Lytechinus pictus: one gene and its partner. The protein of the gene in region 2 interacts with the protein of the main gene of each other region in a biochemical or structural test. Links are inferred from orthologs where the notes say so. Each region holds a gene or a part of one and is shown on either strand. Other genes may lie near its edges.

Evidence for each region. The genes of interacting proteins can lie anywhere in the genome.
Region 1: the proteins of cullin-3-like (region 2) and kelch-like protein 20 form a complex in vitro, tested with the Homo sapiens proteins (2 studies listed by BioGRID and IntAct). The link is inferred for Lytechinus pictus from reciprocal best matches to the Homo sapiens genes CUL3 and KLHL20.

Annotation. Positions count from the first base shown.
Region 1 is NC_087259.1:10,976,080-10,984,047, reverse strand, and holds the start of kelch-like protein 20, read left to right. Parts: upstream 1-4,946; 5' UTR 4,947-5,052; intron 5,053-7,968. UniProt on the Homo sapiens protein: Substrate-specific adapter of a BCR (BTB-CUL3-RBX1) E3 ubiquitin-protein ligase complex involved in interferon response and anterograde Golgi to endosome transport.
Region 2 is NC_087260.1:19,592,307-19,599,266, forward strand, and holds the start of cullin-3-like, read right to left. Parts: upstream 3,005-6,960; 5' UTR 2,213-3,004; coding exon 2,147-2,212; intron 1-2,146. UniProt on the Homo sapiens protein: Core component of multiple cullin-RING-based BCR (BTB-CUL3-RBX1) E3 ubiquitin-protein ligase complexes which mediate the ubiquitination and subsequent proteasomal degradation of target proteins.

The DNA.
Region 1 (7,968 bases), on a different chromosome or scaffold from region 2:
GTGTGCCAGTAGAGGAAAGGAATGTACCTGTCGCACGTGAACTCTTCAGAGGCAGTGAGGACAAGATCTGCAAGCAAGTGATCCTTTTTGTAAGAAAATTTCCAATTTGTACATTTTACAATTAATTTTTTTTAAAGCCTTTGTACACATTTAGAGTATCAAGGCTTACAAAATGTAAAAATTTAATGTTTGTCCAAAAATCATTATGGGAAAGGTGGATTTCCGAGGGAAATCTATCTTTGTTTACACAGTTGTATGAGCAACCTTATAGGAGGCTTGTCTAGGCTCCGTGATGAAAATACAATGTAAAAATGATAAAATTATCTTCATGGAGTCCTCTCGGCTAGCCAGTGACATGGGCCCATGCCCATCAATTTTAATTCATACTTTTGCATAACCAAATGGCGTGAATTTGGAACTGGAAGTATAATTTCAGATTGACCTCCGAAATGAAACGTGCACAATTAGTCTGAACTAAAATAACATTTCCTGAATTTTTTCTTAAATCTGGAGGCTGAAGTATTTTTTTATCTTTGAAATTAAATTGGTTCTCGTTGTTTTTTACCTCTGACTTACCAGTATGTGTGGGGGTACCGTAGAAGTAGAATTAAAGGGATGGTCCAGGCTGGAAATATATCTCAATAAATAGAGTACAATTCACAGAGCAAAATGCTGAAAACTTGATCAAAATTTGATAACTAATTAAGGTTTTGAATTTTAAAGATTTGCATTATTCCGGTGAAATAGTTCTAGGCATGTCTTTATGAATATTCATTAGGTTGGCTGATGATGTCATATCCCAATTGCCCTTTTGTATTTTATTATATGAGATTAGGTTTATTAAGATATTTTTAACCAAGAACTATTGACAATTGGATTGACAACTGATTAGGTGCATTAGTTATTGACGCAACTTATTTCATTACAATGGAGACGCATCATTTACACATGTATGAAAAAATCAAACATTTATGATTTCATCTAGTAACATAAAAAAAAGGAAAGTGGAGATGTGACATCAGCCCACCTAATGAATATTCATGACGAAGTGCATACAACTGTTTTCACAAAATATTGATAAACTTTAAAATTCAATAACTTCTTATTATCCTATTTTGATGAAATTTTCATCATTTTGCTCTGTGAATTTTTAGATGTAAATATTTTCGGCCCGGACCATCCCTTTAATCCTCGGATAAAATTTTGTATTTCATTTTTTTTTTTGCTTTGTCTTGCGTTTTTAAACATGTTCTGGGAACTGCTTTTTGAAAGTTGTCAGCATTAACGAGTTGTCTTTTTCCGACAGTTACCATAGTAACAGTCAGAGGCCAGTGCTTCTCAGCCAATCAAAAGCAATGATTTCACTGAAATAGTCGGCACTGACAATCATGAAATACCCATCAGATGTTAGCAGATAATGTGCAACATAGACTCCTAGATACATATGCAAACATACATAGTCTAAGTCTTTATTATTAAAATAAATGTATAGGTATAAGGTCGAGGCAATTTCATCTCTGCGATGTCAATTTCAGAAGTATTCCCAAGACCATGTGAACTTACTATACATGTTGTAATAAAAATGATGATGTGCTGTCTATCATTTATAATTGAATCATTGAAATATGGAACTTAGAGAAGTTTCACTATCCCATGTATTTTCTTTATGTGCAGATATAATTTTACACCACTGAAATTTTGTATTACGGTATTCACTGTACTTATTATTTTTCATTCCATTGTTTTTTTTTTCTAATCTTCAGATACATCGCATCTACCAGCAAAGATCAAGTGCCACTACAGGAAAGGAAGGTACCTGTTTCACGTTTCCTCTTCAGAGCCAGTGAGGGCCCCAAGATCTCAATAAATAATAATTAAAAAAAGACTCCTTTATCATTCCTTTAAAAATAGTACATATTATTTATTGAAGGTAAATGCTTAGATGCATTATATTCAAATTTTGTCTCCAAGCTAGCATGTAAAAATTGGATTGACTACATATTTACTGTGTAAGTTAATGATCTTTGCTGACACATAATACAAGAATTATACGCAGCATGTTACAGTTTGTAACATAATTTTCTTTCATTAAATTCCTAGTTTAAATACCATATAGATGTTTTTTGTGACTTTTGTCATTCTCTGATGTTTTTTGGTACAGATTTCAAGAGACTGAGGGATTGATTTACCAGAGCAAGTTTACAGTCCAATCCTGTTATATTGTGCATGTGGAAATTAACAAGGTTTCAATACAATGCTACAAATTTACCGTGATTCATTTCATCAGTCCTATGTGCAAGGATAATTATTTCACTTGTCCATGCACATTGTTATAACAGGAGTGGACATTCAATGTAAAGATAATTGAAGATAGTTTATAATTGAAATAACCGCCTGAGAGGGGGGGGGGGTGTTGGTACCAATATTCTAATGTGTGTGTGCTCAAGGAAAACGAAGGAGTGATTATATGAGAAGAGTAAAAGATCGGGACTGTACATATCCACATGATTCATTTTTGTTTATGCTATACATTGCAGGGTGTTTCTAACTGGTACCACTTGACAATTTATGTTTCCAACTGGTCCTAACTGGTGCTTCCAACTTGTTCTAACTGGCACCAGTTGACAACTGGTGTTTCCAACTGGTTTTAACTGGCACCAGTTGACAACTCATGTTTCCAACTGGTCCTAACTGGCACCAGTTGACACCTCATGTTTCCAACTGGTCCTAACTGGCACCAGTTGACAATTTGTGTTTCCAACTGGTTTTAACTGGCACCAGTTGACAACTCATGTTTCCAACTGGTCCTAACTGGCACCAGTTTACAATTGGTGTTTCCAACTGGTTTTAACTGGCACCAGTTGACAACTCATGTTTCCAACTGGTCCTAACTGGTACCAGTTAGGACCAGTTGTCAACTGGTACCAGTTGCTAACTGGTACCAGTTAGGACCAGTTGCCAACTGGTATTTCCAACTGGTACCAGTTACAATTTGTCAACTGGGGCCCGTTTCTCAACACCATCATAAGTCTAACTTCTTGACTAAATCGGAGATAGTGAGCTACTTGTCCGCTAACTGTTTCACGAAGCCCTCTTTACCAAGATCGGGTACAACAACCTCACTAAATATTTATGACACCTCCGAACCTGTCTTAACTTCTTTCTTAATGACGTAGTGGCATCACGTGGGTAGACTATGACATGCGAAAGTGCCTAGAAATTCTAAAATTATAAACTTACGTAATCAATCATAGAGGTTGAAATTACATCACAAAACAAGTGGGTTAATGCATTCAATGATAATTGTAATACAAAGAAACTATAAAAACTGTTGGTAAACGCCACAAAACCATTAATTTTGAAATAGTAAAATGATTTAATCGATAAAGATTCTACCACGTCAGGCCATCCATAACTGAACTCGTATTTGTTGTTTTCAGACCCCTATTAACAGTTGGATGAATTCTATCTCTAATTTATGCATATAATTTGTCCAATATCGTATCTTTCGGTATCAATGATTAAAAATGTTTCGTTAAACTATATTTTGATGACGTTTGGAATCGTAAAAGTCCGTATAATTATCATCATTTTACAAAGAAAACCGTTATGGTTTACTTTCGTAAACTATCAAAATTGGGTCTCCCGGGGGTACCCATCTCAACGTCCACAAGTGATTTTTTAGTCATGAAATGAATTATTCATAATCTAATTTTCTCTGCAATTGAATGCTCCAGTCTTCATGGTCTAAGTATGTATGATGCATAATTCACCTGTGCTATTATTTTGAAAAGATTTATTTCCCAATTCATCGTAATATTTGCAATTTTGTAATAATTTTTCTTTTTGAAAATTATGCTATTTTGTGGCTAAGGCTACGTCTCGTCTGCTCTTTTTACCGATAGTATCGATATCAAGGTATTCTAGTTAGGAAGCCTTTCGAGAAACAGGTTTAGTAAGATTGGAACTAACTCCGTGGTTGGTGGATAAAGATATGACTAACTTGTCCATGTGTTGAGAAACGGGCCCCTGGATTCCAGTTGATTCCAGTATTGGAATCAACTGGAATCCAGTTGATTCCAGTATTCCAATTTCCATATTGAATCCAGTTCGCTAACTGGAATCAACTGGTACCAGTACCAGTTGGATGAACTGGTCCTTAACTGGTTTTTTGACCTGGGCGGTAATACAATACGTGACTATACATAAGTTTTAAAGCTAGAATCTAAACATAACTAGCAGTTTGGCGCATTTCTATAGTTGCATTTTCCCTCGGTGTGTAGGATAGTATAGGACACAGTGCCAGGCGTTAGGGGAGTGACCATACGTACAGTATAAGTCTTTCACTCCCCAGACGCCTCCAGGCTAGTCCTGGAGGTGTCTTTCAAAATTTTCTTTCCTTTCCAACTGAAAAGTGAAGGACCATTCTTCGTAATCGTATCGCCCAAATCGGCTTTGTGAAACAGTTGAGCGATATCTCCTTCTTACGCAGTCGTAGAATGGTTCTAGTTCTACGAAAGACCCTTTCATTCATGCAACAGGCCGCCTAGCCCTGCTAGGCCTAGGGCTAGGCCCCTGCCTGGCCTGGCTAGGACTCAGGAGCTAGGCCGCATGCCGTATGGTATACTTTTACACTACAGTACAATAGGTACGGGAGCTACCCCAGAGTTTCGGCCGAAATCATAGACGATGCCCGCTGAAGTCACATCCACGGTTGAAGAGGAAAGACTGCTTCTCTGGTATCTGCACGAGTTTACAGATAAATAACGAAATAGAAAGACACACAATTTAAAATTATTGATTAATTAATATATCAAGTATAATATAAGCTTAATAACATACCATATTTATTCCTAAGATGCGAAATATTATACAATAAACTTGAGTTTGCCGCGGGCTTAGTGTCTCCGAAAACGATTGCTTCACGAAATGCGCGCATGCGCATCCTCTAACAAAAAAATATTCTGAAAAAGTGGTGCCATCGATTTTTTGCCTCCACAAAATGGTAGGATTTCACGCCTTTTCAGAAGTGATTAAAGAATATTCTTGACTGTAAGTATGCTTCAATATTTGATTCGAGAAAATATGTGATAGAAATAATATTATGTTCGATTTCTTAGTTCAATAATAAACTTTTTTTGTAGCCCATTTTCAGGAAGCAATCAATATTTATAATGGCCCCACGTACTGACAAAAATGTTGGTGAAGTACATGTCCCCATCAAATTCAGCCATTGCATTGCCTCGATAGATCTAATTTGGAAATCTAATTTTCTTTGATTCCTTACAATGGGATTGCTGAGATGCTTTAAAAATGAAGATATCAATACAATAGTTTTGTTCCATGTTTGCGAACTTTCTTGCAAAAGGGATTGTCTTCAATTTTTTTTAAAATGACAAAACCAACTCACTGCGACTGCATTGCCATATGATTTGCACAGAAATCGAGTCGTCGACATGTTAGCGGTTCCCTTCATCTGTCAGGGGTCCAAGCGTAATGCGAAAGCAGCAACTTCTGGGTTGCATGTACAGCTGATCTGCATGCACAATCATGACATAAAAGCATTTTGAGGGCGAGTGATTGAACGAATTTGAAACTGTATGAAATCCATGTCTGCACACCTAACTATTTAAGTTAAGATTTAACATGAATGTCTTTTTATTTCACAAAACTTTTCAATTGATAAAGTTCTTTAAATTCTTATTAGTAAGTATGCCAAAAATCTCATAAAAATTTGAAAGAAATCTATAGGAGCCTAGTATGATTTTCTTGGAAAAAGCCTCGGCCAGTCATTTTCAGATTGAAAAAAAAAACGGTGCCCCTGTCTGCTCACACTTCACATTATGCACGACTCGGGGATTTGTGTGAGAAAGGCTGCATTTTGAGGCCGTAACATAAAATGTCGAAATCATTATTTTTCCACCATTTTTATTTGGATTTTTTAATTACATGTACATGTGTAAACTTCTAGTCGTTGCATATCTGACTGAGAGTTACTTGATTTTCTTCTCAGATATTTTAAACAGTGATGCATTCATGTAGATCTTGACTGTAGATCTTTATTTTCACTTCTGCTCACTCACTTTGCCAGGAGGCTTCTAGAGAGTAAAAATCATTTACTTACAAAGCCAGGGATTCCATCCCATTCATCTGCATGTACCGCCAAAAAACCTGAAACTTTCGCCCCCGAGATTTTTACTTTCATTCTAAAAGATCTAGCCCTAAATCATGTAAATGGGATACAACTTCTTATCTGACATTTCTATTCTATCAATTTCATTTTTAAACAAGCATTCATAAAAAATGAGAAAAATTTTATGGAAAGACGGGGGAGACTTGCCCGATGTTTACACCGCCATCTTGTTTCATATTGTTCTTCCCCAATGTATGGACGCATACATGTATTCTCACTGGGTACAATTACCTGGGAAATATTTGCGAAGCTAAGTTAGCTGTCTAGATTTGATGATATTTTTTGTGGCTTTACAGGTGCAATTGAATTATGGCTATGAGCGCAAATTTGTGCCCCACGCCTGCTTACCACGCTTACATTTTAAGACCAGGGGCCCGTTTCTCAGTCTAACTTCTTGACTAAATCGGAGATAGTGAGCTACTTGTCCTCTAACCGTTTCACGGAGCCCTCTTTGCCAAGATTGGATACAACAAACTCAGTAAATATTTATGACACCTCCGAATCTGTCATAACTTCTTTCTTAATGACGTAGTGGCATCACGTGGGTAGACTATGACATGCAAAAATGCCTAGAAATTTGACAATTATAATCTTAAGTAATCAATCATAAAGGTTGAAATTACATCACAAAACAAGTGGGATAATGCATTCAATGATAATTGTAACACAAAGAAACTATAAAAACTATTGGTAAAACGTCACAAAACCATTCATTTTGAAATAATAAAAATAATTTAATGGATAAAGATTCTACCACGTCAGGCCATCCATAACTGGACTCGTATTTGTCGTTTTCAGACCCCTATTAACATCTGGATAAATTCTATCTCTAATTTATGCATAGAATTTTTCAAATCATATGTTTCAGTATCACAGATTTAAAAAGCTTATGTTAAACTATATCTTGATGATGTTTGGAATCATACAAGACTGTATATATTTATCATAATTTTAGTTTTTTACAAAGAAAACCATACATGTATGGATGGTTTACTTAAACTATTAAAATTGGATATCCCGGGGGTACCCATCTCAGCGTCCACGTGTGATTTTTAGTCATGAAATTAATTATACATAATTTAATTTTCTCAGCAATTGAATGCTCCAGTCTTTATGGTCTATGATGCATAATTTACCTGTGCTATTATTTTGAAAAAGTGTATTTCCCAATTCATCACAATATGTGCAATTTTTCTCATAACTTTTCATTTTGAAAATTATGCTTTTTTGTGACTAAGGCTACGTCTCGTCTGTTCTATTTACCGATGGTATATCAAGGTATTCTACATGTAGTTAGGAAGCCTTTTGTGAAGCAGGTTTAGTAAGATTGGAACTAACTCCGTGGATGGTGGGTAAAGATATGAATAACTTGTCCAGGTGTTGAGAAACAGGCCCCTGATTCTCATTGAGTGACTGTTGCCAGTGACAAAAATCATTAAATGGAAATACTTTTTTACATAAGAGCTTTGGTGTGATCAGTTAAATTACAATAAAAAAAAATAGGAACATACAAGGCATCTTAATTGGAGATTAACTTGGCAGAATTTGTAAATATGCCCAGCCACCATTAAATCTACCAGATCAAGTGAATTAGACATTAGATGAGTTGTTTTTTTATTAACTATTGTGGAATGTAAATTCAGCAAAATAAATGCTCTTGTTGTTGTTTATTGAAATGCTGTTTATTGCTATCATTTTGTAATTAAAAAGTACTATTAGTATTAGCCATCAAGAGCAGGATTTGATCATGTTTATTTAGTCACATTGCAGCATAG
Region 2 (6,960 bases):
GGAAGAAGTAAATGCATTATTCATTTGTACTTTACACTACGTCTACTATACACCCATTTAACGTATCCGTATCAGCCAACAGGGTACTTGTACATGTACTGTATGTACTGTATGTAGGCTCACATGCAATGACATCAACATTCCATTTCAATTACCCAAATCCAACATGTACATGTAGGCCTACATGTACAATTTATACATGTACCAAGGATATTTTCCAAATATGTAAACCTTAGTTGGTCAACATAAATATTTAAAAAAATTAGTTCAAACTAAAGATGTGCATGTAACACACAAGTAAAACTACGGTAGAAAACACTACAAAGTGCATTACATGTAGTGAAGTTAGTGGAAATTATTAGTATTCTTAATTTTACCCGTACTACATTTGGAAGTAAAATAAAGGGGGGGGGGTTGGGCTAGAACAACTCAATATCCATAACCTGGATCCTGTTTTTAACTACATGTATGTACATGTCTATGTATGTGTGTGTACTTGTAATCACCAAGAAAATGTAATTCGTTGAAAACTGTAGTTCTCATTAGATGAAAACAGAACTCTCTAAAGCTTTGTTGTACTTAGCTTTGCCATCCTAGGAGTAAATCATGAAGCATCATCGCATTACTCATTTCAGGCATGATATTTCCCTTGAAAAAGAATCTGAAAAATAGCCAAGGGTGGCTAAGTCCCCGCCGGAGTCCGAGAAGCCCCTGTCGGGGTTACAAGCTCTTGCATAGTGAAATTGATAGTGATTTTTCAAGGTAAGTCTGCATGATAGCTTTATCATTTAACTTGAAAAAGCAGTAAAAAACTGCATGAGAATGTTCTTGGGCAAAGGATTTCACGTAAAAAAACTAAAAATCAAAAATTAGAAAATCTGAAAAAATATCATGCCTGTCTTTTTAATGACAAATTTGCTCTGAACCAATGAAATGCAAAGATTTCATTGAATGGCAACAATGTCATACAAACTGTTATGCAATACTGTAGGTCCTGGGACAGGTTGGGGTGTTAACTTGGTAAAAACACATATTTCTTTTTTTTTTTTTTGAACATTTGGTGAAACTGTACTTACATGTACATATACATGTATTATCTACATGTATCAAATAACATGAACACATGTACATGTAGGAGAAGTGAGGGGGGGGGGAACGATGTCCAAACACCAGTTAAATCTATCAAAAAAACTGTCTATTTTTTCATATCTGGGTTTCCTTTAAAAAAAAAAGGAGTAGCAGAAATGACTGAAAGTTTATGCATCAATTGTCTCATATTACTTTCAAACAATTTAATGTCCAAACGCAAGTTAAATCTTCACGTCTCGCAAAAACTATTATCTTTTCTTTTTTTTATATCTAGGTTTTCTAGCAAAAAAAAAAGAGTAGCAGAAATAATTGTTTCGTCTAATATTACTCCTGTCTTGATATTGCCGACTTGTCCAGATAAACGACCCGCCCGGGCCATATCGTAACCTTGTTCATAGAATGAGTGCGCCCGGGCACACAACTGGGTACATGTACCTGACGAGGTATATACCCAGTTGTTGTGTGTCCGGACAGGTTGTGTGTCCGGACGATCAATTTTAGAAAGTCATTTGGAAAAAATTACAAGCGAAGTGTCATCAATTTTTAGTACAAAATGTGAGGAAATATTATAGAGAACAAAATATAAGATGATTACAACTATTGAATTCATATTTTTAGTGTAATCTTAAGACAAAAAAGAAGGCTTCAAAAATATAAAGTATCCGGAACAGGCGCTCTAACCGACTGAGCTACACTGCCTCCACTAAGTAAGACTCTAAGACTCTAGAAAATGGACAAACAATAATATAGAAATTGACGCAAAATATCAGCTGGGCATGAACGCTTTGTCTGTTTAGCCTTTGTCTAGTTGGTCAATTGTTGTCTAGACTGACTCGAGAGATCCTAGGCCATTTTTTTTCCATAAAAATTCCATGTTAAGTCCTAAAAGGCTAAAGTAATTGTTGTCTGTTGTTGAGTCCCGGCCCCCCCCCCCCCCTCAAACACAAATTATGTTTTTGCAATCCCAATAACACCTTAGTTCTTGACTTAATAAAAATAATAAACATTCTACGATAAACAATCTGTGTAACTTAGATATCTGAATTGCAGAACATACTGGAAAGGCACGAATCCTCATTCGAGAGTCTTTCTTCGGCGGTGGTGCTTTCATCGAGTTACTCATGTTGGCGACGTTGTTCTGGATAATTCAAAAATGACAGGAAAAAAAACACAAGACAAGTCAAGTGTCAAGTCAGTCTACTTGCAACAGTTTGAGGGCTCTTTTCTGTAGAATTTCCAGAGCCTATGAAAAATTATTCAGTGGAGTCATATTGGATCATGCCACTTCAATTGAGGCATCCGAGTATATGAAATAATTGTTATATTTTGAGAGTTTGTCGAATCTGGTGCAACCATAACACGGGTGATTCACTGCATTGCGTTCACTGTGTTTACGGATGTAGGCGAGCTCGAAGACTTGTTCTTCATGGACTCCGCTATTGCTGCACCTTCGTTTTATGTGGATTCGCGAATTCTATTTTGGAACAGTGACTCAGCTGGGTAGTTTATTCTGAACTAGTTTCATCGAATCTCCGGACATCTATTTGAAATTTCATGATGGGTCACTGATAAAGTGTAGTCGAAGGCTCAGGATATCCTCCAAAAAGGTACTCACAGTACGCCAAAAGTGCAAAAATACGCACTTTTCTGACAATATTTATAGCATTCAACACATGAACGAAGCCTCAACACTTGACCCGATTTGTACACAGTTGGAGAACTACTTTCTTCCACCAAAATTCTTTGCCCCACATTTCTTTTCGAAAGATAATAGCAAGTAACTTTTCATATTTTCAACCAACTGTGATTGCTTTCTTTTGATTGTGTTATATTCTATCTCCAGATTCAGATTTGATTCAGAGAACTAACGATAAGCGAATGGATATTATTTTACAGTGAAGTGCAATTCGCCTCTAGTATTCCACGGTTGTGACGTCATAGGTCATGACCATCCATTGGGCCTACTCTGCAAAATATGTTTTGCTGAATTATGACAAAACAAAAGAAAGAAGAAATGGAAAGGGGGGAAAAACAGAGATAAATTATTCAGGCAAATGGCAGTTCCAATGAATACCAACAAATAATCTGAAATATATATATATATCAGTTAACGATATGACGACAAAAATTCAAAGGCGAATTCATCTTAAACGTATTTAGGTGAAATATAATACTTCAAATGGTAGGTAATTCTCTGTAGCCTACCTTCAATATATGTCATTGTTATAATTAAAAAGCACTGAAAACTGTAAATTGTTATGCTTATAGATATTTATAACTCTATAGAGAACTCTAAGATTCAGCTGTGCCTTACATTCTAATAATGATACAAAAATAGTGATTGGTTGTATTTTTTGTTGATTATTTAGATTTTTGTGCTTTATATATATGATAAACCGTGAATGTGATTATATATATAATTTTTTTACGTAAATCGTGGATTATGAGTAAAAACATTTTTAAAGTGATAATCCTTTCAAACACTCAAAGACGAAACTGAGTTATATTCAGATTTGAAAAAAAAATATTGAATAAAAAATGGCTAACACAAATTATGTGTCTACATAGTCACGCCAAGAAACTTTTTTTTTCCAAGCAATCATGTTAAACTCTGCATGGATATTGATTTTCAATAAATCTAATTTGCAAGTGTCACTCTGATGCAGCGGCTATTCACTTTTTCCATATACAAATATAATATTAAATTTGCACACCAACATTCTCTAACAATAATTAAGGAAAAGAAAGAATTAGGAAAACAAACTCTACACATTTTAGCTGACAAGCAGGGGCGGCTATCCGGGGGGGGGCACAGTGCCCCCACACGTACTTTTTGAAGCCCTGAAAAAGTGCCCTTTTTTACGCAAGAAGAATGCCCCCTCACGAACGTTTGCATGTTCCCCTTTCACCTGAGGAGGACCCGTTTTAGGTGTTTGCCCTTTCTCGTATAAGTGCCAATTTTATTTCGCAAAATGCCCCCTCTCAAACGATTTATGTGCCCCTTTTACCTGAGAAGGACCCGATTTGTGATTGTGTCAGAAATTTGCAATTTCTCGAATCTTTGCCAATTTTTACCAAAATGCACCCACACGAACGTATTCTGTGCCCTTTTTACCTGAGAAGGACCCGTTTTAACGGTGTGAGCAAGTGCTCCCTGATATTGTTGGCTAGCAGCCCCCCCCCCATTTTACCCAAGAAAGGTGCCCCTCACGAATGTGTTGTGTGCCCCTTGAAGGACCCGTTTTATGTGTGAACAAGTGCCCCTTCCTTCTTCTTTGTGTCCTATTTCGTATTAGTCCCCCTTTTTACCCAAGCAAGAAAGTGCCCCACACGAACGTGTTCTGTGCCCCTTTCACCTGCATGAGAAGGACCCATTATAACGGGCTCGGTGTAAAAATGACACTGAGGTAAAAATGGCAGAGGTAAAAATGGCAGAGGTGGTGGCAGAGATAAAAATGGCAGAGGTAATAATGGCAGAGGTAAAATGGCAGAGGTAAAAATGGCAGAGGTCATATTGGAATAGGCCTAGGTAAAATCGTCTTAAACCCCCATGCAAAAAATGAATAAATAATGAAAAATAATAGAAAGGGTCACATCTTTAAAATCATCTAGATAGATCGTCTGCACCAAATTGATAATCTTTTGGTTGGAATATCTTATTTTTTCTGGACTCTCATGGACGGCCTTCTCATGTCAAATCGCTGTACTAATATTCAAATTTGAGGCACACTCTAGATCGCAATTGTATTTAATTCATTAAAGGGGAAGTCCAACCTCACATAAAATTCATTGTAGAATAGCAGAAAATAGTAAAATGATATTGGTGAGGGTTTTAGGAAATCCATCAAAGATTAAAAAGCTATACTTTTATACTTTTATGATAACGTCATTTGCGAGCAGTTTTCCCATATTTGGTGTATAAAAAAATCAATGAAATGTAATTTTCTAGAAAAAAAATCAAAATGGTTTTTATTGTTTCTTCAGTAGGCCTATATATCAAGAGACAAATCATTTCACTTACGCTCCTGAAATATTTTTTAAAAACAATTACGAACCATTTTGTAGTGCGTAAAATGTCATGGGACAGTTTCCCATATATGACGTCACAGACTAAAACTTAAACTTCTAATAACTTTCTTGATCTTTGATGGATTTTTCCTCAAGCCTTCACCAATTTTCTGCTATTTTTATTGTTCATTAGGGCAAACTACCTCTTCAAACAGCCCCCAGAGAATGGTACCTATATATAAGAAACACCCATAAATTTAAATCCCTAATTGGCTACACATTTCAAAATTCATGAGGTAACAGTGACCATAATACACTAGTTTGGGAACCTGACATCCACTTGGACTATAGCTGCAATGAGGTATTGCTCTAAAGACTGAACAATAATTGTAACATTTACATTTAATTATACGTATCACATTAATCAGGGGCAGATCCAGGATTTTCCAAGGGGGGCACATTATTTTTCCTGAAAAATGACACGCAAAAACAGTTTTCCACCTACAACTTAAGGTAATTCGTCCACAAAAATAATAAGCAAGCAAAAAAAGTCCTCGCTTTAAAAGGGGGACACATTTGAGTTAGAACCGCACATTTGCTAAGATTTTAATTGTACCTCTCAAGGGGGGCACGGGCCGGCTGTGCCCCCTGGATTTATTTATTCATTTTATTTATTGATATATTCATATTCCACAAGTCATCAAAGTATCTTTCGTAATAAATCATTTTTACAATGAAAAGATGCATCAACTGCATAACACATACAGGATTGAAACGTATACCAATGAAATGAAAAAAAGTGGAGGGGCATACTAAAAAAGCAAAGCTTGTAAAATGTAGACCCCCTATCAAAATTGTATACAAGGGTAATATGATATAAGTATATAGTAAAAATAATCAGCAAAATTCTATAAATTTACATAGATAGAAACACTGTAACACAAATGTTTATACACTATATACAAAATTAAATATTGACTTTAAAATAATCAACACTACCGTGCATGGATAAGCATGAAGTTCACAAAATATTTGATTAAATCAATAAGAATTCAGAAGAAATTTTTTTATGAGTAATTTAAATCGGTTCAGATTAGCTGCCTCTTTTATTACTCTGTCCAGAGAATTCCAGAGTTTTGGTCCTGTGAAAAATAGTTTTGCTAGAAAATACTGTTCTACTTTTAGGTATAAGTGATAGTCATTTGACTGTCTCGTATTATGAATGCAAAGTATTGTTTCTCATAAATTTCTTTTGTAGGCCATTAGGTACACTATTTCTATTTAGCTGATACATGAATTGGAATAGTTGTAAGCGGTACAGGTCACTGACTGTAAGGATACGTTTCTGACGAAACAATTCATCCGTATGAGCTCTAAAGGACATATTGCATATTATTCTCAGTACTTTTTCTGAAGTAGCAAGACTTTATTGAGTCTCGTTTGAGAGGCATTACCCCATGCCAGAATCCCATAATTAAGATATGGTAAAAATTATTGCACAATATAACATGAATAGCGCCTGTGCTGGAAGAACGTTTTTAAGCTTATTGATGACTCCAATATTTCTTGCCACAGTTTTGCAAATATTGTTGATATGAGCATTCAACGTAAGCTTGTTATCAATAGTAAGACCTAAAAATTTTGTTGTTTGGATCCGCCAGTGACATCAATATCTATTCATCATGATCCATCATGATGTGGAAATAAAGAAAATTACTTTTATTACAGAATGTTCAATTATTTTTTGTTATCCAGCTTAAATTATGAAAGTAGTTTGAAGTAGACCCGAACTTGTTTGTTTCAGAGGGTTAATGGCTGCACACATTGATGTTTACATTAAAAAAAAATCGTTGGGTTTGCATG